Linked DNA regions of Mus musculus. The protein of the gene in region 1 interacts with the protein of each later gene in a pairwise test. Links are inferred from orthologs where the notes say so. Each region holds a gene or a part of one and is shown in the gene's direction. Other genes may lie near its edges.

Region 1 (3,500 bases):
AAAGAATGAATGAATAAATAAGTAAATAAATAAATAAATAAATAAATAAATGTTTATTTTAAGTAGTTCAGTTACAACATGATTACTGTGCTCTTTCTTAAAAAAAAAAAAAAGAATAAATAAAAAAAGAGCCAGAGCGATGGCTCAGTGGTTGAGGGCTGACAAGCTTGAGGGCAGAGTTTGATGCCTAGAACCCTCGTGGCGGGAGAGACCTGACTCCCACAACTTGTTCCCTGACTTCTTTGTGAGCTCCTCCTATGTATGTGTGTGTATACACACACATACTCACACTCACACACCCACAAATAATAAGTATAGAAAAGGACGGTAAATAAGTAGAAAAATAAAGACTTCAATCATACAAGGCAGTGGTTCTCAGCCTTCCTAAGGCTGCGACCCTTTAGTACAGTGCCTCATGTTGTGGTCACCTCCCGCCCCACTAAATTAGTTTTATTCTTACTTCATAGTTGTAATTTTGCTGCTGTTATGAATCATAGTATACATACCTGCATTTTCTGATGGTCTGAGGCAACCCCCACGACAATGTCGTCCAGGGTTTGTGTGATAAACGGAGAAGACTAACATAATCAGTAGCCCTGTGTCAGGCCAATGCCACTCAGAGGAGTTCTTTAGAATGACTTCTGCCGGATCAGCAGCTGTGTCATCTGACACCCTCTCCAGCAGAACAGTGTGTTAGCTAAATCATCACCAGTTTCTGACCAGACCGTTGTCAGCGAGCTGAAATGATTGGCCCAGTGGCAAGGAAACATGTTCGTAAAACTAAGGATCCAGATAGGCTCAAACGCTGGTCTTCAGAGCCCTGGGCATTCCTCCCTCTCCCTAATGTGCCAATGATGGTCTACTTTACAGTGTTTGGGTTTTGGGAAAATGCAGTGAATAAAATGGATAGAGAGATGGACAGAAAGATCTCTGTTGTCAATAAAAAAAAAAATCAAAGATGTTTTTCTCCCCCGATGCTGTGAGATGTGACATCTTTCAGTGTGTGAGAGCTCCTGGCATTGACTCCTCTGAAGAGCATGCAAGGCGCTACCAGACCAACCTAGCAACAGGAATGGAAGCCATCACACCCGCCCCCTAGAGACTAGCAGTTCCGAGTAAACCTTGTGGCTTTGTGGCGAGTGCGATTCTGTTTCCATGGTCGGCTAAATACAGGATCTGGGAGTGGCCTTGAGTATTTATGTCCAATGCTGTGGGATCTAACCCAAAAGAAAGGGGTGAGAATGTGATTAGGGGTTTTGGTAGTCAAAATAAACAGTCACCAAGTCCAAATGTTAGAGATCCCCGTCCTCAACCCCAGTCAGGTAGATGTGATTTCCTACTGCTTGACAGTAGAGATTATATGCTAGGAGAATATAACAGGCAATTAAAAACAAATTATTTCTCAAGTCATTAATGTATTTGGCCGGCCAGCATATATTGAATTCTTATATGTGAAAGGGAGGGGTGTACATGGACAAGCATGTGTATTGATTGGGGAAGTTCTGACTAAACATTCTAAGTGCCCCTCTGGTTTTATTCCAGCTGCAAAGGGGCCTCCCACTATGGCCTGACCAAGGACAGGAAAAGGCGCTCTCAAGATGGCTGTCCTGATGGTTGCGCCAGCCTCATGGCAACGACGCTCTCCCCAGAGGTTTCTGCAGCCGCCACCATCTCTTTAATGACAGATGAGCCTGGCCTAGACAACCCTGCCTACGTGTCCTCGGTGGAGGATGGTGAGCCAGTAGCCAACTCCTCAGACTCTGGCCGGAGCAACCGGACTAGGGGTGAGTCAAAAATGGGACGGTGTCTGGGAATGGGCCCGTGGTTTTCCCTGGGATTGCCCTCTGTAGAATACCCGTGGTGGAAAGTTCTCAAAATGTTTTTTTAAAGGGGAAATGGTTCTGGTAGTTTTGGCCGACACTCAATGTCCAGTTCTCCAACAGGAAATGAAAGTTTAAGTGACCATGTGATCTGACTTGGTAATGGAGGGTGAGGTGAGGTCTGATGATTTACAGTTCCTATAGAGAGGGTACCTCCCCTGCCTTCTTTGGAAAGTAATGTTCTATCCACTCCCATCCAAGGGGGAGAAGAGATTTTTTTTTTTTTAAATAGTGAGATATGTTATTTTACTACATAAAAAATTTAGAACTACAGGTAAATAGTGATCACTGTTTTAATATCCCAATGTCCCAGTTCATACGCTTTAGACCGAAAAGATTTCTTTTTTGCTTGTTTTGAAGCAACACCTCACTCTGCACCAGGGCTGGCTCTGGCCTCCTGAGCTTCCTGGCTACCTCCTGAGTGCTGAGATCACAGGCACACAGCAGCACGCTTAGCTAGCAGATGGTTGCGGTGAGCCTGTGCCTCTCATCTCCATTGATCTCTCTCTCTCTCTCTCCTCAGCACGGCCCTTTGAGCGCTCCACTATGAGAAGCCGGTCTTTCAAGAAGATCAACCGAGCTCTAAGTGCTCTCCGGAGGACGAAGAGCGGGAGTGTCGTTGCCAACCATGTTGACCAGGGCAGGGACAACTCTGAGAACACCACTGTCCCCGAAGGTAAAGGGAATCTCCACTGCACCCCGAGGCTGGCTGTAGGCTAGTTTGCCAGAGTCACTTGAGGGATGGTGGTAGCCTGACCAATGTCCACCCTCTGTGACCTCTGTCTTTCCAAGGGTACATAGCCTTGAGTGACCTCCTCATTTGAGTAAGGACAGGGACTCTTGGTTTCTTTGTTGTCTTTTTACACAGGTGAGGAAAAATTCGTCTGTTCCTGGGCTCCAGGTGCTGGCTTAATGCACATGAAAATAATGATTATAGTTAGAGTGTGAAAAGCATTTTACTTCATTCTCACCCAATGGCACTGTGCACAGGCTTCTGCTAAAACAGAAAAAGCCACAGACACTGCGAGTTCTATATAAACTGACAGCAAGTTAGTGCCTTTGTTTTGCCTATTGTTTTGATTTTCTTTTTTTAAAGAATTATATATATATATATATATATATATATATATATATATATATATATGAATGAATGAATACACTATAGCTGTCTTCAGCCACACCAGAATAGGGCATCAGATTCCATTACAGATGGTTGTGAGCCACCATGTGGTTGCTGGGAATTGAACTCAGGACCTCTGAAAGAGGATTCAATGCTCTTAACCACTGAGCCATCTCTCTAGCCCCTGTTTTGATTTTTCTATACTAATTTATTTATAGTGTGTGGGTGGAGGTGGCTGTGCACACCTACATACACATGTACTCACGTGCCACAGTGCATGTGACTCATGTGACTGTCAAAGGACAACTTGCAAGGGTTGGTTTTCTCCATTCACCATGAGGGTCCTAGACTGGAATTCAGCAAGTGCCTTGAGCCACTGACCCATCTTGAGGGCCCTTAAAAAGCATCTTAGACTGAAGCTGGCACATTGGCTAGACTAGTATTCTTAGTGTACACGTACCTACACACACACACACACACACACACACACACACACACGG
Region 2 (3,495 bases), on another chromosome or scaffold:
TTTAACTCCTGACATCTCTCCTGCTCCCCTAGTAACTATTGGCAATCACTAATTTCAGATACACCACGATGTTTCAGTCTTTGCTGTATATTGCTTTTTAAATTCTCTTTTCATGGGATGGTGATGCTTAAAGGGCCTATGGATAATGGAATGAAGACTTCTTCATTGTAGTAAAGGGATTACTAGTTAGACAGTGTTTCTCCTCACATGGGTCCATGCCTCCCTGTTTTCTTCTTTATCTGGTAAGACATATTTTACTTTCTTAGTACCTGAAGGCCATTCCTTGTTTTTTCTTAAATAGGGTTTCTAAAGCTGAAGGTATGTTATTTTGAGAAGCTTGCTTCTCAGAATTAAAGGTCAGATTACAACCTGAATGTTGTAAAAATGAATACACAGTCAGATATGACAGTTTAAAGCTGCTCCCAGCCCTTTGACATGTGGTAGTTTGTTTGGGGCTAGAAGATGAGCTAGATTGGGTTCACCAAACCATGTATTTTTTAATCTAGTGTTTACAACTTAGTCCCTGGGCGTGGTGACACAGGCCTGTAATACAGCACCGGGGATAGGCAGGAGGTGTGTGTTTCTAGCCTGCTTTATCTATATAGTAAGATGCTGTCACAACAACAACTGCAACAACAGCAGCCAGAAAAGAAGAAACTGTTGCTTCCAGAAAAAAATTACTCAGATTGATTTTAAACAAATTTTTGTTTCTAAAATACATTTGGGTGTGGAGACAGGGGTCAGCAGTTAAGAGCACTTACGCTCTTACAGAGGACCTGGGTTTGGTTCCTAGCTCCTACTCAATGCCTCACAACCGTCCCTAACTCTCAGTTCCTAGAGCCATACCCTTGGTACAAATGAGGTACACACACGTGCACACAGGCAGCACACTCATATAAGAGACATGAATATATATATATATATCTACACACACACACACACACATATATATATATATATGTATATATGTATATTTTCCACAGCTGGGTGTGACAGTATACACCTGTGGTCTTAGCACTGTCCTAGCAGTGGGACAGAGGCAGGAGAATCAGGAATTCTAGACCATCCTTAGCTACACAATGAGTGTGAGGCCAGCCTAAGTTATGTGAAACACTGTCTCAAAAAAAAAAAAAAAAAGTTAGATCTTCTGACTCCTTTGAGGAGAAAAACCCAACACAATTCCTAAATTAATTATTGTTACATTATCAGATTATTTTTATATTCTAGCTTATGTTAAATTTTTAAAAACTGACGGTTTTGCCAAGGGTGGTGGCACACACCTTTAATCCCAGCACTAGGGAAGTAGAAGCAGGCAGATTGACCCAAAAAGCTCTTCAGATGCTGGACTTCACTGTATGACACTAAAGGTCACACCTGGTAGACTTATAGGAAACTTTTGAAGGATTGGATTTATTCTGTTTGAAACCAAATATTGAAGCCCTTCTCTTGGGTGGGTTTTATCATTGGAAGTAAAGCCGTTTAGTCCCCTTGTGCTGCCAGATATATTAGCTTGAAAGGGTGTTATGCTTTGCTTGTTAATACTGATTTTCTTAATTTGTTAGTTAAGATTTTAAGGTTTCAGGTAATTAATTGGATTTTTAAAAATTGCAGATGAGTGACCCAGTCACATTAAATGTAGGTGGACACTTGTACACGACATCGCTTACCACGTTGACACGCTACCCGGATTCTATGCTTGGAGCTATGTTTGGGGGTGACTTCCCCACAGCCCGAGACCCTCAAGGCAATTACTTCATTGATCGAGACGGACCGCTCTTCCGCTATGTCCTTAACTTCCTACGGACTTCAGAACTGACACTCCCCCTGGACTTTAAGGAGTTTGATCTGCTTCGGAAAGAGGCTGATTTCTACCAGATCGAACCCTTGATTCAGTGTCTCAATGACCCCAGGCCTCTGTATCCTATGGATACTTTTGAAGAAGTCGTAGAGCTGTCTAGCACTCGGAAGCTTTCTAAATATTCCAATCCGGTGGCCGTCATCATCACCCAGTTAACCATCACCACAAAGGTCCACTCCTTACTCGAAGGCATCTCAAACTATTTCACCAAGTGGAATAAGCACATGATGGACACCAGAGACTGCCAGGTCTCCTTCACCTTTGGACCGTGCGATTACCACCAGGAAGTCTCTCTCCGGGTCCATCTGATGGAGTACATCACGAAGCAAGGTTTCACGATCCGCAATACTCGGGTGCATCACATGAGCGAGCGGGCCAATGAGAACACAGTAGAGCACAACTGGACTTTCTGTAGACTGGCCCGCAAGACGGACGACTGACTGCTGGCCAGCCCTCAGAGAACTTCCTGCAAGCTCACGTTTTGGGACATGGAAGAGACTGTTGTTGGGTTTTAGTGTGGGCCCTCTTTTTTTTTTTAATTTTTTGATTCAGTCTTTGTATTTATTTGAAGGCATTGAGGACCAGAAGGAAGTTTTGTGTGTGAGCAGTCTCCTCCCTGTTTTGTTCCCAAGTATGCATGTGCCTGTTCCGAGTCTCTAGAAACCTTTTTTATAAAAAGAGATCTGAAAATCATTATGGTATATAATCTACCCTTAACAGTGATAAAATGATTTCTGAGAACGTGGTTCCTGACTCGACTGGAAGGCTAAAAACAGGAATAAAAGATTAAAGAGGGTATTCATGATGTCTTTGAGAAAAATCAGAATATCATGTAGGGCGACCTAGTTTCCAGACCAGTAGGCAGTATTGTGGTGTTAAAGGAAGACTGGCCCAGTCATCTGAGGGTACTTGTTAAGGACTGCTTTCTACAGTTTTGACAACTGTTTCTTTCTATGCATATAAATCAAGCAACCAAATATCTGTAGCCATGGAAATGTCTGACTAGAAATATTTATATTGGATTCTCAATACAAAATGTCCCTGTGGTAGAAACCTTATGCCTGGTACAGTTTCATTCCCAAGGTACTGTCTACCAGGAAAGAAAAATCTAATAAAAAATGGAATATGAATATTAAAGGTTGTATTTATTGCTATATAAGGGGAAAATCATATTCTTCATTGAAAGTATGCATCCTTTATGTCCCAATTAAAGTGCTTATAGCACATTTGTGATAGGGTTGACAGGACTCTGTGGGACATTAGATTGTACTTTATAAAGCCAGCTGTGTAACCAGAGATAAGCGGGTTTGTCTAAAGAGTGCAACCCTGTTTTCAGATCGGGTTTACAGTGAATATTACAGTTTTCAATTGTCACAGCTATGGATGTGACTCATTCCAGTTTGTGCTGTGCGTGAGGACAAAGTGACTCCCACCATTTCCCCCTCAGGAATTGTGGTAGCTGCAAGTGTGTGTTATGACAGGTAAGTCCCATCCTGAGAAATCAATCAGAAAGAAGGCTCAGAAAGGCTTGGGGAGGGTGTGCCCATCATCTGCTTATTTCATTGTCGTCACCGCTTTCAGAGTCGATGTGATTCTGTTGCTTGAAAGCTACAGGAAGGAGCGTGTTAATCATGAGA
Region 3 (2,421 bases), on another chromosome or scaffold:
TTCCCCGTGTAACTCACCCTTGTTTCAAACTTGGGCTTACCAGCATGGGCTTTAAATGCTTGTTTGTACTGCCTTTCTTCCTTCTGAGACTTACATGACTTACCATTTAAGTCACGTAAGTCTCAGAAAATATATACAAAATATACATTTACAAGAATGTGCTTATGTAGTATTATACACTACCATATATAATTAATATACACCATGGGAAATTTAAGAATAATAAAAATCAACTTGAAGAAATATAATAATTTGTTTGCCTGGGATGAGTTCTGAAATAGCTAAGGCTTAACTTAGTCTGTAGCCAGGAATGGCCTTGAACTCCTGAACCTCCTTCTGAACCTCCCAAGTGTTGTAATTACATTCATGTGTGCAGTCCCTCTTCCCCCATCTTAACAATGGGTAATTTGTAGAGATAAAAGTTGTTAGGTATTTTTCATTCTTAATTTAACAGTCTATAATTTGTTCACTCTGAGCAGATATGATTTACGTCTCTGGAGGCTTTGATGGAAGTAGGCGTCATACAAGTATGGAGCGGTATGACCCAAACATCGATCAGTGGAGTATGCTGGGAGATATGCAGACAGCTCGAGAGGGCGCAGGACTAGTAGTGGCCAGCGGAATAATCTATTGTCTAGGTATGAGCCTGGGATGGGGCTGGAGAGAGCTTAGTGGTTACAGACTCTGGAGGGCAGAATTAAGTGCATATACTTGCATCAACAAAAACTCTGACTTTTCTCAATATATTGTCCATGAATAGGATTATATTTTTCTTGTAAGCAATATGTAGGATGTTGCATATTCTCTGACCTGGACCTCTGGAAAAAATAGAACTGAAAGAATCAGTTGAATTAGGGCTAGAGAGATGGCTCAGCAGTTAAGAGCACTGACTGCTCTTCCAAAGGTTCTGAGTTCAAATCCCAGCAACCACATGGTGGCTCACAGCCATCTGTAATGAGATCTGATGCCCTCTCTTCTGGGGTGTCTGAAGACAGCTACAGTGTACTTACATATAATAAATAAATAATCAGTTGAATTACTCACAGAAGGCCAACTAAGATGAGCCTGGTAATCTACCTTTCTCTTTGGAATGTTCTCCACTTTGTCTTTCAGGAGGATATGATGGCTTGAACATATTAAATTCAGTTGAGAAATATGATCCCCATACAGGACACTGGACTAACGTTACGCCTATGGCCACCAAGCGTTCTGGTAAGACCAAACCTATGAAGTGATGGTTTAATTACTGGGTGTGGTATCAGTAGGACAGAACTGTAGTTCTTATTTCACTGTAGACCCATTGTGAATGTGAGTCACAGTCCAGTCTCCTCCACCTCTGCCTTCCCTACAACATTAGGATGAAGGAAGGTAGGTTAAACTTTGAGCTAGATTGTCCATTTGAGGACAGCGATTCCTTATTCTTTAGTACTTTTTTCTATTCTTGTAGTTTGACCACTAGCCTCATTTTGTGTGTGCAGTACATGTTAAATAAATATTTTTGTACACAGACCTGTTGAGGTCTATGTCTTTGCTTTTTGTACTCTTTGGATGTTGATGTCTTGCTGTTTTAAAGACAGGGTTTGCCTGTGCAGCCCCGGCTGTCCTGGAACTCACTCTGTAGACCAGGCTGGCCTTGAGCTTACAGAGATGCACCTATACCTGCTTCTGCCTCCTGAGTGCTGGGATTAAAGGCGTGCACTGACAAACCTGGCTGGACTTTGTTTTGAGGGTCCTACTGTGCAGTCCTGGCCAGTGTACAAGTTGCTATGAGGTGATCCTCCTGCTTCTGGCTTCAAGTTATACCACTACACTCATTGGTGATTTTTTTTTTTTAATCTAAGATCTCACTGTATGTAGTATATAGCTCACATTAACTTTAGACTCCAAGTAATCCCAGGATTGCACACATGTGACATATACCTGATAATAAATGGCAATAAGTATTAGATAAAATCTCTAATGCCTAAAAATAATTTTTTTTAAATTCTGAATACTGCACGCAGGGCTTTGCATATACTAGGCAAGTACTCTATCATAGAGGTACATCTAACTCTAACAGCTGAGAACTCTTAGTTGAATAGGCTGTGATGTAACTGCCTCTGGACAGAGATCACAGCAGAGCCATGGCCTTGGTTCCTCTCATTGTCTCTAACACAGAAGAGAGATAGACTGTGAGTTAGTGACAGCAGAGATGAGACCCATGTCAGTCTTCTGCTAGAATTTCAGGCCCTAACCTAAGGGTTGACCAATGCACACACTGACATTTGCTGTATTACACTGTTGTAGTGCTTTGACATGTGTGCATCCCTCATCTCCACAGTGCAGCCGTTAGCGGCCGTGTTTGTTACTGGGTTCAGATGCTAGGCTTACTGCCATTCATGTGCTGATGCTCTCTTTTCCCCAGGTGCTGGAGTAGCCCTA
Region 4 (3,500 bases), on another chromosome or scaffold:
GGCAGGATAACTAGTTTCTGTTTTAAAGGTATAATTATGAATGGAAACATTTACTTTTTTGGATAATTTTGTTCTTATATCTTGTTTGAAATAATAGCAGTCTATTTATTGTCTTGGTTTGGGTTTTGATAGGTTCTTCAGTGGGCAAGAGGCCATATTAAGTATGGAGTTCTTCATATTCATGGTTTGTACACGGACCCCTGTGGGATGGTGCTGGATCCATCGGGCTATAAAGATGTCACTCAAGATCCGGAAGTCATGGTAAGCCTGTTTTCACTAGGCTCTGGGTGCCTCTTCTGGGGTACTAATGGTGGCAGCCAGCCATCTGGCTGTGTTTCCCAGGCATTCTGGTTCTCTGGTTAACTCCCCTTTCACATGGCTGCTGGGGACAGGGCCATCTTTTCCCGTTTGTAGCCACATCTCTAGGCCCTGGTACGGCGCTGCATTCTGAAGAGATGCTCAGTGCACACCTGCTGGAGGAGGACACATGTGCTTCCTTAGAAACCTCTCTCCTGCTGCCAGCACTAGCGCATTGCAGTTTCCTGGCGAGGGACTTGCCTGAGGCTGGTAGTCTCTGGTCTGCAGTTTGCAGTCTGTAGTCTGCTTCTCCTCTGTCCCATTTGTCAGCCCTCCATGTTACTCAGGGCTGTTGTATCTGCAGTTCTCACCTTCCTTACATAGCAGTCTCTCAGGTTAAAACTAGGGCTAAGAATGGAGCCCTGGCCGAGCTCACACCGAGCATGTGCATGTCCTTAGCTCCATGCCAGCACAGCAGACCAACAGCGAGCACCCCATGATACGGAAGCCTTTCTTCACTCTTTTAGGTTTTTTTTTTTTTTTTTTTGAGATAGTGTCTCTCTACAGAGCCCTTCCTTTCCTGGGACTTGCTATGTAGGCCAGGCTGGCCTTGTACTTAAAGAAATCTGCCTGCCTCTGCCTCCTGAGTACTGAGATCAAAGGTATTTGCCACCATGCCAGGTCTTCTTCATTTGTTTGTTTGTTTGTTTGTTTGTTTTGTTTTGTTTTGTGTTTTTCGAGACAGGGTTTCTCTGTATAGCTCTGGCTGTCCTGGAACTCAGAAATCTGCCTGCCTCCCAAGTGCTGGGATTAAAGGCGTGCGCCACCACTGCCTGGCTCTTCTTCATTTTTTAATGAGAGATTTGTGGCTGGGTACTTGTGTCACATGTGTGAGTTCAAGGCCAGCCTGGTTTATAGAGGAGTTCCAGGACAGCCAGGGCACACAGAGAAAGACTGTCTTAAAACACCAAAAAGAGTGCTGGAGAGATTGCTCAGCTTAACAGAACACTGACTACTTTTCCAGAGGTCCTGAGTTCAATTCCCAGTAACCACATGGTGGCTCACAACCATCTGTAATGGGATCTGATGCACACGTCTATTCACGTCTATTGTGTCTGAAGACAGTGACAGTGTACTCATATAAATAAAATAAATTTTAAAAAAAGGAAAAAGAAAGACCAAAAAGAAAGGAAAAAAAAAAAAAAAGATTTGTGAGGGTGTGTGTCAGTTGCCTGCAGAGACCAGAGACATTGGGTCCTTGGATCTGGAGTCACAGTGGTTGAGGTGCCCTCCATGAGTCCTGGAATTGAATAGGTCTCTGGAAGAGCTTCACTTGCTCTTTGTTAACCACTCCACTGAGCATCTTCCCAGCCCTGCCCCAGCAGATGTTCACATGAAGTATGTGCAGTATGTTGCCGACTCTTCTGTCCTAGCATACGCCATACTCCTCCTGCCGTTTCTGAGCGTCTCGTGAAGTCTGTTTGCCTTCAGTATTTTTGACTCTTGGTCTTCCTGCCTCCGCTTCCCAAGTGCCGGGATTTCAGGCATGCGCCACCATATCAGGCTATCTACAAGTCTGACTTGAGTCTGTGTGTTGTGTGGTAGTTCTCTCAGTATCAGGTACGTGTTCCGCAGAGCTCTTCTCTGGCCTCTCTCAGCAGGGATGGCATCAGCAGATGAATGCTGGGCAGTTAGGAGCTGATGCTGCTGAGGCCCTCCTTGAGAGAGTGCTGCTGTTATGGGGCCTTCAGGTCCGAGTCACCGACCACTGCTCCTCTGGGTGACCCTCATAGGCTGCTCTGGGGTTACTGCCTCTACTCCCCTTCACAGCTCTCTTGCCTTCACTCCCTAAAATCTATCTACCCCCTCTTCCTGCGGGATCTGGCTCATCTGTCCACTCATTAGTCTCAGGGTGGTGTTTGTACACAATTTTGAACCAAGAAAAACAGTTTTTTGAGACAAGGTCTCACTATGTAGTCCCAACTGGCCTGGTAATTGCTATGTAGACCAGGCTGGTCTGGAACTCACACAGAGATCCGCCTGCCTCTGCCCCCCTTAGTGTCAGGACCAAAGGTGTATGCTGCCACACCCAGCAGAACTGTTAATGCTCTTCTTTTATGTCTTAATTTAAGATTGTATTTAGCTGGGCAGTGGTGGCGCACGCCTTTAATCCCAGCATCTGGGAGGCAGAGGCACTCGGATTTCTGAGTTCGAGGCCAGCCTGGTCTACAAAGTAAGTTCCAGGACAGCCAGGGCTACACAGAGAAACCATGTCTCAAAAAACCAAAAAAAAAAAAAAAAAAAAAAAAAAGTTTAATGTGTGTGTGTATAAATAAATAAATAAATAAATATCCAGGAGTTGACCTGGGTGAGTTGACCTGGCGAGCCAAGGGTCTATCGTAAGCTGACTTCACTGTGAGGTGCATTCATGCTGCCCAGGTTGGCCAGTATCCTGCCTCTGCTGGTTTTCTTTCTTGTCCTAGTTGAGAGGTAGATCTCAGCTGAGCTTCACCATGCCTTGCACACAGATCACTGCACGGGGTTGCTCTGAGTATGTCAGGAGCCCCTAGTCTCCCTGGTGCGCCTTAGGATGGCTCTTGGGAAGCCTGCTGGGTACAAGATAGGATGTTAAGGAACACGGGGGCCTTTGTGTCAATGAGGAGCTCCTGCTGGGTTTCACTGAGGTGTTCTCTGTTTATTGGCTTTCCCCAGGAAGTCCTGCAAAATCTCTACCGAACCAAGTCATTCCTGTTCGTGGGCTGTGGCGAGACACTTCGGGACCAGATATTCCAGGCGCTCTTCTTGTACTCCGTGCCAAATAAGGTGGACTTGGAGCACTACATGGTAGTGCTCAAGGAAAACGAAGACCATTTCTTTAAGCATCAGGCAGATATGCTTTTGCATGGAATTAAAGTGGTGTCCTACGGGGACTGTTTTGACCTTTTCCCGGGATATGTGCAAGACCTTGCCACTCAGATCTGCAAGCAGCGAAGTCCAGGTGTGGAGCTCTGCCGTCACTTCTCCAAGCAGAATTCCTGGGTTCTTCCTTCAGCTGTTCCTCTGCCCAGTCTATAAGACTTACTAATCTAGTTATTTTTTAGTGCCTCTGAGTTTAAAAGTTGAAAAAGGGGTGATTGGTATAGGTAACAGTCTGTAAGTAGAACTTGAGACTTCTGCTCCAAATGTGGGACACATTGATCTGC
Region 5 (3,500 bases), on another chromosome or scaffold:
ATGCATGCAGGCGGGTTTGATCTTCCCATTGTTATTGTTTAGATCGAAATTAATTGCCCTATCAACTTTGCAAGGTATTTCTCGTGTTTTGCGTCTGCGTGGTGCCAGGTATTCCGAGACTTAATTGCATCCTCTGTGATTCTTAGCATGTTTTTAATTTAGTTTGCAACTTCTTAAACTGCAAGCTGCCAAAAAACAACACAGGCATTGAATATAATTACTGTCAATTTACCGTCCTCTGACATATTGTGCATAGATTAGGGGGGAGGGAGGGGGATGCACTTCTGTCAGAAACAAGGTCAGCTGGGAGTCTGTATATCAAATTTTAATTTGTATCTAATACATGGTGGATACGTGAGGATCTAAGCATATCTTTGCATATAAATATCACGAGGCTCAGACATGATCCTGAGTTTTTCCTTATATGTTGCATCTCCCATAACCTGCCATGCTGCAGTCTGTCTGCTGCACCTGTTTTTGAACTGTCACATCTAAGAATGAGCTATGCTTTATCTCCATAAAGCTCTCGGTTTGAGATTTAAAGACTTAGCATGTTGAGCCAGATATATGGGTTAAAGGGACTGTTTATCACGAGCCCCTGGTGTGTCGGATCAGAAGTCGGCTGCTAGCGGAGCACAGCCGCTGTTAAGGACTCTCTGGGTGTCCGTGCAGCTGCTGCCGTTAACCTGTCCTTTCGGGGTGCTTCCTTTGCTGGTTATAGATGAAGAGGTCGGCAGTGGGAGCGTGCAGCGAGCAGTGTGTGGGCTCTGTGGTCAGCCGGCTCATCCCCTCTGAAGGGAGTACAGAGCCCACACAGAGCAGCCCTCGGGACAAGGCCTGGGGACTCCTCACTCTCAGGTTCATGCTGCCTCGGGAGACCACGAAGCAGATCTACCCTTCTTGGAACTGGGCTAAGGTGATGGCAGAGCCTTTCTCGAGTAGGCCTGGTGCTGCAGATCTCTGGATTAGCCAGCACCCTCCGCTCCCACATTAGCCTCTTGAGTTAAGTAGTTGCTTTGTGAGTGAAAATACTTCCTTACCCGAAGTAAAAAAAACTTGTTAATTGGACCAAGGCTCGACTGTTTGACATGTTTTCCATTTGCATTTGTAATAAAAAACATGAAAAAAAAATCCATAAAGACTGGAAGGTGGCTTAAATACAGCCCCCTCTGCTGTCCTGGGAAATGGCAGATGAGCATTTTAGTGACTGGACATCGACTGTAAGCTCACTGGAAAAGGGTAATTAATCACAGGCATGGGGCTTCGTCTCTGCCTGTCTTCCATGGTTTCTGTCTGTGCTCATCTCCCACGGTTACCTGTTCAGGTATAAAAGAGGTTATCTTCATGTCGGATAAATACCACGACAGCGAGGAGACGACAGCTGCCAGGCTCCTGTTTAAGTTGGCTGGGGTTACGTTCAGGTAGGTCGGGGGAACTGGTGTGGACACGCATGTGGCCTAGCCTGAAGTTTAGTGTCTCCCATGGGGTTTTGCCTTCCACGAGTGGCAACGTCTTTGGAAGTGTGATGGCACGAGCCTCTGAAGATTATTTTAGGGTATGGAGTTAACTCCAGAAGTATCTGGAGACAGCCTGTTTAATGATTATATTTTAATATTAGTGACTTTCCAAGGCTTAGACTAATTATGCAAGTAGCAAGAAATTTAAAAATTTACAACTTTTGGGCTGGTACCGCTGAGCCTTTATGAATTTTTGAATATGTAAGGGCTCTAGCAGGGATAGTTTAGGATGAAAGCGGCCCGCCAGGGTGAGACACCAGGAATTCTTTCCTGAGCATCATTTTGAATTAAGAGCAGAGGCCCTTCCGATCTCGGCGATTGTCTTTGCAGAGTGGAGGTTGTGTTTTACTGGGAAGCTTTGCCATCTTTTATGAGTGGCCAGAAATCGTTTTTAGAATGGAAAGCCTTGCGGATTGTCACTCTTTCTGGCCAGCAGTGATACGACGCGTACAATGGGCAACCCTGTTCCTTGTGCTCTTAGAGACAGGGGATGTTTTAGTTTTTTGTTTTCTGAGGCAGGGTCTCTGAATGATCAGGCTTTTCCCAAGCTGCTATGTAGCCTCCTGCCCTGGTCTCCCAAATGACAAAACCCACCATGCGCAGCTAGAACCAGGCTTTTTGCATGCTGCATGTCCTGTGTGCCCTAGTTTTGCCTTGATAAAACACTGACTGAAACCAACTGAGGCAGGAGGCTTTCTTTGACTTTCGGGGTACAGTCTCACACCATGGGAGCCAGGGCAGGAAGTCAAGGCAAAGCCCGCAGGCAGGAACGGAAGCGGGGGCCACAGAGAATGCTGCAGACGTGTTCTGTGATCTCCTTGTTTTAAAAAGTCCCCACGTGCCTTCAATTATTGTAGCATGTTGAAGACAGACATTTAGAGGACTCATTATTTGCATTTGTAGAACTTGATTTTAAAAAAAATCTGCCCTCACTCCAACGGGTTGTCTTTCAGTGTGTCTGACGCAGAAGAAAATCTACTGTGTTTGCTTTAGAGCTGCACAAATTGGCTGCAGAAATTTCCTAGAAAATAAGATAAATACAATGGGGAAACTGTAATCGGATATCATGTTGTGCTGGTAACTTGTTAGAAATCCTTTGACTCTCGGATAATTCATGAACTCCGATAGTTGAAGCACGCGCAAGCCAAGCCACCCCATGCCTCGTTCCTGTCACAGTCTCTTCTGCTCCGTGTTCCGCTCAGTATGGCACACTATAATTGGCTCCTATAAAGATAAAATATCAAGAGAATCTCAGGGCATTTTTTTTCCTTCTGCACTAGAAATACAGTTTAAACTGAAATAAACAAATTGCTCTAACTACTCATTGGATAATTCAGTTCCTTTACATATTTTGTTCTTCACTTTTAGAAAATTCACACCGAAGTACAGCAAGATTGTCATTGACTTTGATTCGATCAATAGCCGACCGAGTCAGAAGCCTCAGTGAGTTTCGTCTCGTTAAAGCCCCAGAAGAAGATGACACCCCACCACGTGCGTGCACACACACACACACACACACACATACACACACACACAAGGGGCTCCCCAAGCCTTTCATCTTGAAGTCCCACGGAACTTTTTAATAACACAACACTAAACATCTAAAGAATATAAAACTTGGAATCTTCTCACCCGTCACGTGGAGCTCCATCTGTTTCAGCTGTTGATGTAGTTTGGTTTGGAAACTAAGGGACCTGCCCACAGGAGCTGGAGTGAAGGTCTCTCCCCTTCCGCCGAGCCCGTCTGCCAGAGAGTGTCAGCTCTGTCATCCACCATATTTCGACAGCCGCTCCTTGCTGCTACACGGGGTAGGAGGACATACAAATAATTGCTTCTCGTTCTTAGCAGGGATGAACAGGCACACTGAGGTGAACATCTGGCCCAAATGAAGCATACCCTGTCACGCCCTTGGGAAAACAAATAGGACCGAACAAAGCTACATGAACACACCTGCTGTAGAGTTGAGGGGACCTCTCACCTGGT
Region 6 (4,194 bases), on another chromosome or scaffold:
AGGATCATGAGAAGACAAGATCATGGACAGTAAACCTGACGACAGAAGAGGGTCAGAGGCTAATGTGAGAACTTCTGCTGACTTGATTTTTTTAAAAAGACTTATTTTATATATGTGAGTACAATGTCATTGTCACTATCTTCAGACACACCAGAAGAGGGCATCAGATCCCATTACAGATGGTTGTGAGCCACCATGTGGTTGCTGGGAATTGAACCCAGGATCTCTGGTAGAGCAGTCAGTGCTCTTAACCACTGAGCCATCTCTCCAGCCCCTGCTTTTTTTGATGTTTAAATAAGAAAAACTTCAGTATAAAGAACATGTAAAAAACCAAAACATTTTTTGTTTCTCAGAGCAGGTTGCACTTCAAAATCCTGACTTGTTCTAGAACTCATGTTGTAGACCAAGTTGACCTTGAATCTATGGCAATCCTCCTTCCTCAGTTCCTAAGTGCTGGGAACCCAGGAGTGAGCTACTGTGGGTCTTAGCATCTTGTTATGAAAGTGGACTTGCCTCACACAGCCTTCCCTCACCTATATAGGAATGCAACACCACTTCCAACCTGGCAAGCACTGCTATCATATCGAAAGATGCCAACACTTTTGGAGTCCTCAAAAAAAAAAAAGTGTAAATAAATAAAGTGTTGCTGGGCATGTTGTACACTCCTTTAATCCTAGCATTTAGGAGGCAGAGACAGGTGAATTTCTGTGAGTTCAAGTTCAGCCGGGTCTACATAAGGAGTTCCAGGATAGCTAGGGCTATAAGGAGATAGGTAAGCTCCTGCTTCCTCAGAAAAGAACTAATCAGGAGCTGGAGATGGCTCAGTGGTTAAGCACACCTGGTGCTCTTCTAGAGGAGCGGTTGGGATCACAACTTTAATTTGGGCTCCAGGGGTATCAGACTGAGGTCTAGTCTCTTCAAGGAGCGCCCGCACTACCTGCACATGCACACAATCAAAGAGCATTTTTGGTTTTCTTTAAAGATGGGGTAGTCACGGTGCCTCTTAATCATGGTTTATGAAATCGAGTTAACGTAAGCGCTCAAAATAGTAGCGGAGCAGGTTTCTAATCCTCTCCTCCCCGGCCTGGAAACAGCCTTGCGGGGCTGGGCCAGGCCTCGGAGCTGCAGCCCTCTGATCCTGGCTTGCCCAGTGAGCTGGCCCGAGGTCCCGGAATGCCGCTTGCTCCGGCTCCGCGGTGCGGGGATGTGCTCTCGCCCGAGGTCCACTCGTGCGGACCGTAACCCTGCCAGACAGGCAGAGTACGCCGGCTCCCCTCGCGCTGCAGACGCCCGGCCGCGGCCGCCGCCCTAAGCGCCGCCCGCCGCCCTCTCACCCCGCGGCGGCGGCGGCGGCGGAAGCGGCGGGGCGGGCCGGCCGGGCCGGGGCGGGGCGCGAGAGGCATGGAGGAGGCGGAGGCCGCGGAGGCCGCGGCGCGCGGGGCCGAGCTGTGCGGGCCCGAGCGCGGCCCGAGCGGGGCCCGGGGCCCCTGAGCCGTAAGTGCCTCCCAGTGCGGGTCTCAGAGGGGTGATGCGGGCTGGGTGGGTCTTCTGAACCTTCCGGCGTCCCTGATCCCTGAGAGGAGAGGAGTTGAGCCAGATGGGAAGAGACGAGGGTGGAGGATTGGGGTGCAGGAGGTCGCTGTTACTGTTCTACCCCAGGGCTGGGAAGGACTGGGATTTGGACCTTTTAAGGACTGATGAATCGTTAAGAGTTGATTGAGTTACTGGCCTCCGCCGCTAAGGCCCTGATCCTGCACACAGTTCCTCTAGCCCCAGGGAATTTTCAGGTGATCCAACTCCTCCAAAGATTTTCTGGCCAGACCCAGAGAAGTTAAGCCACGTTGCCTAGGGCACACAGCTCAGCAGTTTGCTGAGAGAAGTCATTCCAGAAGGCATTAAGCTTTGGGACAAGCATCTTACTCTATGTGACTCTATATATAGTCCCCTCAGATTCCTGAAGTCATGGACTGGCCGGGACAGGGGTGACTCCCTAATCCAGTATGGATGACTGGAAGCCCAGTCCCCTCATCAAGCCCTTTGGGGCTAGGAAGAAACGGAGCTGGTACCTTACCTGGAAGTATAAACTGACAAACCAGCGGGCCCTGAGGAGATTCTGTCAGGTAAATGAGGTCCCACGTGTCCCAAAAGCTGCTCCCTAACTTTACTCTAACAGACTAGGAACTAACTACCTTGGCTATCAAGAAGAGGCAGCAAATTCCTGGAGGGGAAACCTCTGTCTGTTACAGCCTTCTCAGGCAGTGGTTTAGAGCCAGGATTCTGGAATCAGAACCCTAGTCTGACCTCGGCATCCAACAGAAACCAGAAGTCTGGTCAGGCAGGCTTTGCCCCTGACACCCAACTGTCAGGCAGTGTGGCCCACGTTCTTCTGTGTCTCTGGCTCTCCGCTGTGGTTCTCGGGTCCTAAATCCATCTCAAGGAACTAGTTATGGAGGGGACCAAGGAAGTCAAGGACTCAAATGGGAAAATACAAGACCACGGGGTAGGAAGGACCTGGTTGGTGGAGGGAAACCTGCCAGGGAACATTCTCTGGGAGATGGCCACAAATCCGTGTCCTTATTGGGAACCAGAAAGTGGAGAGACTGGTCCCTGTGTCCTCTTCAGCCAAGGTCATACTTTCAGAAGGCCCTTGTGATCTGGAGAGGGCTGGCTGCAGTCACCCCCATTTTCCTACTCAGACAGGGGCTGTGCTTTTCCTGCTGGTGACCGTCATTGTCAACATCAAGTTGATCCTGGACACTCGGAGAGCAATCAGCGAGGCCAATGAAGACCCAGAACCAGAGCAAGACTATGGTGGGGACCAGCTGAGGGTGCGGGAGGGGGGCGGGGGACGGGACGGGACCTGGGGTCTCATGGCAGGAATGGCGTGCACATCCCACAGGGTGTGACTCTGCTAGTGAGTCATCGCCCACGCCTGTTACAATTCCCTCTCCAGATGAGGCCCTAGGACGTCTGGAGTCCCCTCGGCGCAGAGGCAGCAGTCCCCGACGGGTGCTGGATGTGGAAGTATACTCCAGTAGAAGCAAAGTGTATGTGGCTGTGGATGGCACCACGGTGAGTTGGACCAGCATCTTCAGTCCATTCAGAGCACGGTGGGAACCGTCACCCTCTGCCTATTGGCTTGGACTTATTAGGATTAAGTAAATGGTCTATGAAATGTCTATGTGGCGAAGGCTTGGCAGTGATCAGGGGCGTTAGCGGGCAGCTAACTCCCTTATTTACTTATTATGTAACCACTTCCTAATCCCTTTGGCTTCAGCCTTGGGCCAGCCACTGGGGTCCTAGAGGTAATGGGACTTGCCCTTCCCAGAGAGGCTCACTGGTAGAGAGTTAGCAGAGACAGTCCAGGGCTCTTGGTGCCAGGGAAGTGTTAAAAGGTGGATGGTAAAGCGACGAAACCTTTGCCGATGAGGGTACCATGGGGGCTTTCTGGGAGAGTCAGCCTTCTGTCTGAGTTAGAACCGTAGACAGTGATAATAGAGCAGGCTGCTGTGGTTCCTGCTTCTAAGATGGAGTCACCGTGAGCGCCAGGGTGAATAGCTGGATTCTGTTTCTGCCGCTGTGTAGGTGCTCGAGGATGAAGCCCGGGAGCAGGGCCGAGGCATCCATGTCATAGTCCTCAACCAGGCCACGGTGAGCTTAAGGATGGGAGAGCCCGAGGGCCGAAGCTGGGCTTGCTTTGCTGATGACCCCGTCTCATAAGAGGGTTTGCTCCTGCCAGGGCCACGTGATGGCAAAGCGCGTGTTTGACACATACTCTCCTCATGAGGATGAGGCCATGGTGCTGTTCCTCAACATGGTGGCCCCCGGCCGCGTGCTGATCTGCACGGTGAAGGTCAGTGAGGCCCCCTAGCTCTGGCTCTGCTCGGCAGCAGAAAGAACATCTAGAGAAAGGTGGTCAAGTTCCAGACTGAGCCTAGCTTTTTGTTTTTCTTTTGTTTGTAATCAGTACAGTGGTTTCTGAGCTCTGTGCCAGGTACTGCAGCATTGAATGCTGAAGATACAATACAAGACAGATTCCCTACCGCCCCGGAGCTCACATCTCAGTGGTGGCGATGAAAACAGTCAGCTCAGCCAGTAGTCTCAGGAAATGAAATAAAGAGGGGGATGATGGGGCTGCATTTTAGGGAGGGAGCACCTCTTTTTGGAGGGTGGCAGGATGCAGGCGCCGGGCAC
Region 7 (2,977 bases), on another chromosome or scaffold:
GAAGGCCCAAGTTGAGAGCAAGAGGGACAGGAGAAGAGACTCACCTAGACCAGTTTGCTTCTGAAGCTCTTCTGGTGCTGGGCCGGGCCTCAACTTCTTTGCATGACCCCTTCAGTCCTGAACCTTCAACTGCCACTGAGGCTGCACCTTCACCAGTCACCTTCACCAGTGGCCTCTCAGTGCCTCTTAGTTCCAAGCCTCAGCTGCTCTCCACGACCCCTTCATGCCTTCACAACCAGTACCACCTGGGTGACTCTTACACATTATCAAGTCCGCCTGCAGCACAAAGTACAACCTTGGCCACCTCTGAAACATAGCTTCCCTGTGCTCTCAGAAAACACTTCCCAGAAGATTTCACCTCAGGGATGGTCTCTTCCTAATCACTACTAATTTCTTAGCTCCAGCTGACCAGCATCAGTTGTCCTTGTAATGTAAAAGTTTCACTATCAGTCCCAGCAAACCAGAACCACAGAATCTTAAAATAGCAGATGGCCCTGATAGAGTCTACTCTTCCCTCTGAAGTTTCATAAGCCAGGCCTCCATCTTCTGCACTCTCTCAACATTCTTATCTTCCAAGCTCCTACAGAACTTCCCACTGAGGTCTTAACACTCACTGGCTCTTCTAGCCCAAAGTTCCAAAGTCCTTCCACAATTATCCCCAAAACATGGTCAGGTCTGTCACAACGATACCTTGCTTAGTCAGGGTTTCTATTGCTGCAACAAAACACCATGACCAAAAAGCAAGCTGGGCAGGAAAAGGTTAATTCAGCTTACACTGAAGGAAGGCAGGACAGGGACTCAAGCGGGACTGGAACCGGAAGGCAAGAACTGACATAGAGACCATGGAAGGGTGTTGCTTACTGACCTGCTTCACGTGGCTTGCTCAGCCTGCTTTCCTACAGAACTCTGAACCACCAGGCCAGGATGGCACCACCCACAATGGTCTGGGCCCTTCCCCATTGATCACTAAGAGAAAATGCCTTACAGCTGGATCTCATGGAGGCATTTCCTCAACTGAGGCTCCTTTCTCTCTGATGACTGTAGCTGTGATGACTGACAGACAAACCAGCCAGTACAATGGGTTAATACTGTAATTCTCACCTGACAAAAGTTTGACTTTTATATTTCTGTTTTACACTTACAGATCTTAAAATCTAGCTCCATATTAGGACTTCCTTGGTGTTTTGTTTTGAGATAGGGTCTTATGTAGCTTCAAACTCAGTATGAAGCAGAATATAGCCTTAAGCTCCTGATTCCTCCATCTCCAAGTCTTGGGATTACAAATGTGCACCACCATTGCCCAGGTGGGGATCAAACCCAGGGCTTCATTTATACTAGGCAAGCCCTCAACCAAGTGAACTATACCCCCAGCCCAGCAGGAACTTTTAGAACATTAAAACTACTAAGTTTGTTTTCCTTTGTGTATTGGGGTTTCACGTTGTGTGTGAGAGTAACAAAGAGGTAGAAGACATTGAACTAGATGCTCTGCCAGCCCTGAGGCTCTAGGGTAGCTTCCTCCTTGATCTTAGTGAGCGCATCTAGGGTTTAGCTTATGACCTCTCCTCCTCTCACCAGGACCTCATGGTCAGGAATGACTCCCCGTGTGGTACCACCATTGGACCTATCTTGGCTTCTCGACTGGGGCTTCGGGTGCTGGACTTAGGCAGCCCCCAACTGGCTATGCACTCTATCCGGGAGACAGCCTGTACCACTGGAGTTCTCCAGACCCTCACCCTTTTCAAGGTAACTCCCACCTGGCCCTCTGCTCCACCAGTAAGTGGCTAGTCACTGCGGGGGGCTGATTGCTGTGGACTACAAAATAGAAAACGGCCCCTGTGTCAGCTTCCATCACTGACACATGTGAGGTAAGCAGTTCATAAGAAGTCAGCGTTTCGGAGGCTTTAGTCTGTGGCCAGCTGGCTGTTGACTTGAGGCCAGTGATAAAGCAGGATATCATGGCGAGAGCTTGTGCTAGAGGAATCTGCTGCCGGGAGAGGCGACAGGGAAGAGGGAGTTGTGGGGAAGAGGAGGGAGAAAATGGGTTCAGTGTCCATCACAGGTATGCTTCATCCCGGGTGACCTGACTTCTTCCCTTCAGACCCCAACAGTGCCTACCAAGCCTTTAACACCGGCCATACCATTCCTCGTTTTCAAGGCCTCAGAGGAAAGTGGTTGGCTGGAGAGGGCCGAGGGATGAGGAGTCAGGCCAGTGCATGAGGCATAGAAGCCTCGGTGCTTCTGTTACTAGACTTGGAGGAGATGGAAGGTGCGTGGTGGGGCACTGCCGTCTGCTCACTCACTAATTCCTGGTTCCCTCTGCCTCGCATTTTAGGGCTTCTTTGAGCTGTTCCCTTCTGTAAGCCGGAACCTCTTAGTGGACTGAGGCCTCTCGCCAAGAGTTGTCTTCCACCCCTTCAATTGAGAGGGGAGGATCTCAGTTTCGCTGATGTTGGTTATTAAAGTAGATTTTCACTCCAGCTCTCTGTGCTTTTTCTGAAGCGGCAGGGTGAGCCTGGCCTGACCCTCTGGAACCAGACCAGAGGTGAAGGTCAGGTGCAGGTAAAAGGTTGTCCCTCCCTGCATCGCACCTGAACCAGAAGCCCCTGTTCACAAGGGACTTGACACCACTTGTCATTTTATTAGATTTATTTTATGTGTATGAGTGTTTTGCCCGCTTGTATGTATGTATGTGCCTGGTGCCAATAGAGATCAGAAGACATTGGTTCCTTTGGAACTGTAGTTATGAGTCACCATGTGAATGCTGGGAACTGAGCCCTGGTCCTCTGCAAGAATAACAAATGAATAACACTAAGCCACCCCTCCAGCCCAGCGTGAGTGGCAGTTCATTGTGATTTTGATCTCCCAGACTTTCAGGAGGCCAGACAGATGGCTCAGTGGTAAGAACACTGGCTGCTCTTGCAGAAGATGCAAGTTCAAGTTCCCAGCACCTACAAGGTGGCTCATAACCTTCTAAGTC

The links.
Region 2: the proteins of Lnx1 (region 1) and Kctd6 interact in binary tests that used the Homo sapiens proteins (3 or more experiments, as listed by UniProt). The link is inferred for Mus musculus from reciprocal best matches to the Homo sapiens genes LNX1 and KCTD6.
Region 3: the proteins of Lnx1 (region 1) and Klhl12 interact in binary tests that used the Homo sapiens proteins (3 or more experiments, as listed by UniProt). The two-hybrid records come from large-scale screens. The link is inferred for Mus musculus from reciprocal best matches to the Homo sapiens genes LNX1 and KLHL12.
Region 4: the proteins of Lnx1 (region 1) and Fam118a interact in binary tests that used the Homo sapiens proteins (3 or more experiments, as listed by UniProt). The link is inferred for Mus musculus from reciprocal best matches to the Homo sapiens genes LNX1 and FAM118A.
Region 5: the proteins of Lnx1 (region 1) and Dctd interact in a two-hybrid assay, tested with the Homo sapiens proteins (2 studies listed by BioGRID and IntAct). The link is inferred for Mus musculus from reciprocal best matches to the Homo sapiens genes LNX1 and DCTD.
Region 6: the proteins of Lnx1 (region 1) and Pomgnt1 interact in binary tests that used the Homo sapiens proteins (3 or more experiments, as listed by UniProt). The link is inferred for Mus musculus from reciprocal best matches to the Homo sapiens genes LNX1 and POMGNT1.
Region 7: the proteins of Lnx1 (region 1) and Dnpep interact in a two-hybrid assay, tested with the Homo sapiens proteins (3 studies listed by BioGRID and IntAct). The link is inferred for Mus musculus from reciprocal best matches to the Homo sapiens genes LNX1 and DNPEP.

What each region holds. Positions count from the first base shown.
Region 1 is NC_000071.6:74,626,404-74,629,903, reverse strand, and holds part of Lnx1 (E3 ubiquitin-protein ligase LNX), read left to right. Parts: intron 1-1,542; coding exon 1,543-1,784; intron 1,785-2,403; coding exon 2,404-2,556; intron 2,557-3,500.
Region 2 is NC_000080.6:8,220,576-8,224,070, forward strand, and holds the end of Kctd6 (BTB/POZ domain-containing protein KCTD6), read left to right. Parts: intron 1-1,611; coding exon 1,612-2,298; 3' UTR 2,299-2,995; downstream 2,996-3,495. UniProt on the Homo sapiens protein: Probable substrate-specific adapter of a BCR (BTB-CUL3-RBX1) E3 ubiquitin-protein ligase complex mediating the ubiquitination and subsequent proteasomal degradation of target proteins.
Region 3 is NC_000067.6:134,486,531-134,488,951, forward strand, and holds part of Klhl12 (kelch-like protein 12), read left to right. Parts: intron 1-479; coding exon 480-638; intron 639-1,113; coding exon 1,114-1,212; intron 1,213-2,404; coding exon 2,405-2,421. UniProt on the Homo sapiens protein: Substrate-specific adapter of a BCR (BTB-CUL3-RBX1) E3 ubiquitin ligase complex that acts as a negative regulator of Wnt signaling pathway and ER-Golgi transport.
Region 4 is NC_000081.6:85,050,562-85,054,061, forward strand, and holds part of Fam118a (protein FAM118A), read left to right. Parts: intron 1-132; coding exon 133-261; intron 262-3,009; coding exon 3,010-3,295; intron 3,296-3,500.
Region 5 is NC_000074.6:48,137,458-48,140,957, forward strand, and holds part of Dctd (deoxycytidylate deaminase), read left to right. Parts: intron 1-721; exon of another isoform or gene 722-1,324; coding exon 1,325-1,421; intron 1,422-2,885; coding exon 2,886-2,964; 3' UTR 2,965-3,500. UniProt on the Homo sapiens protein: Catalyzes the deamination of dCMP to dUMP, providing the nucleoside monophosphate substrate for the thymidylate synthase/TYMS.
Region 6 is NC_000070.6:116,149,124-116,153,317, forward strand, and holds the start of Pomgnt1 (protein O-linked-mannose beta-1,2-N-acetylglucosaminyltransferase 1), read left to right. Parts: upstream 1-1,394; 5' UTR 1,395-1,494; intron 1,495-1,941; 5' UTR 1,942-2,000; coding exon 2,001-2,120; intron 2,121-2,307; exon of another isoform or gene 2,308-2,446; coding exon of another isoform or gene 2,447-2,500; intron 2,501-2,696; coding exon 2,697-2,811; intron 2,812-2,953; coding exon 2,954-3,072; intron 3,073-3,585; coding exon 3,586-3,651; intron 3,652-3,739; coding exon 3,740-3,853; intron 3,854-4,194. UniProt on the Homo sapiens protein: Participates in O-mannosyl glycosylation by catalyzing the addition of N-acetylglucosamine to O-linked mannose on glycoproteins.
Region 7 is NC_000067.6:75,308,065-75,311,041, reverse strand, and holds the end of Dnpep (aspartyl aminopeptidase), read left to right. Parts: intron 1-1,575; coding exon 1,576-1,743; intron 1,744-2,332; coding exon 2,333-2,383; 3' UTR 2,384-2,477; downstream 2,478-2,977.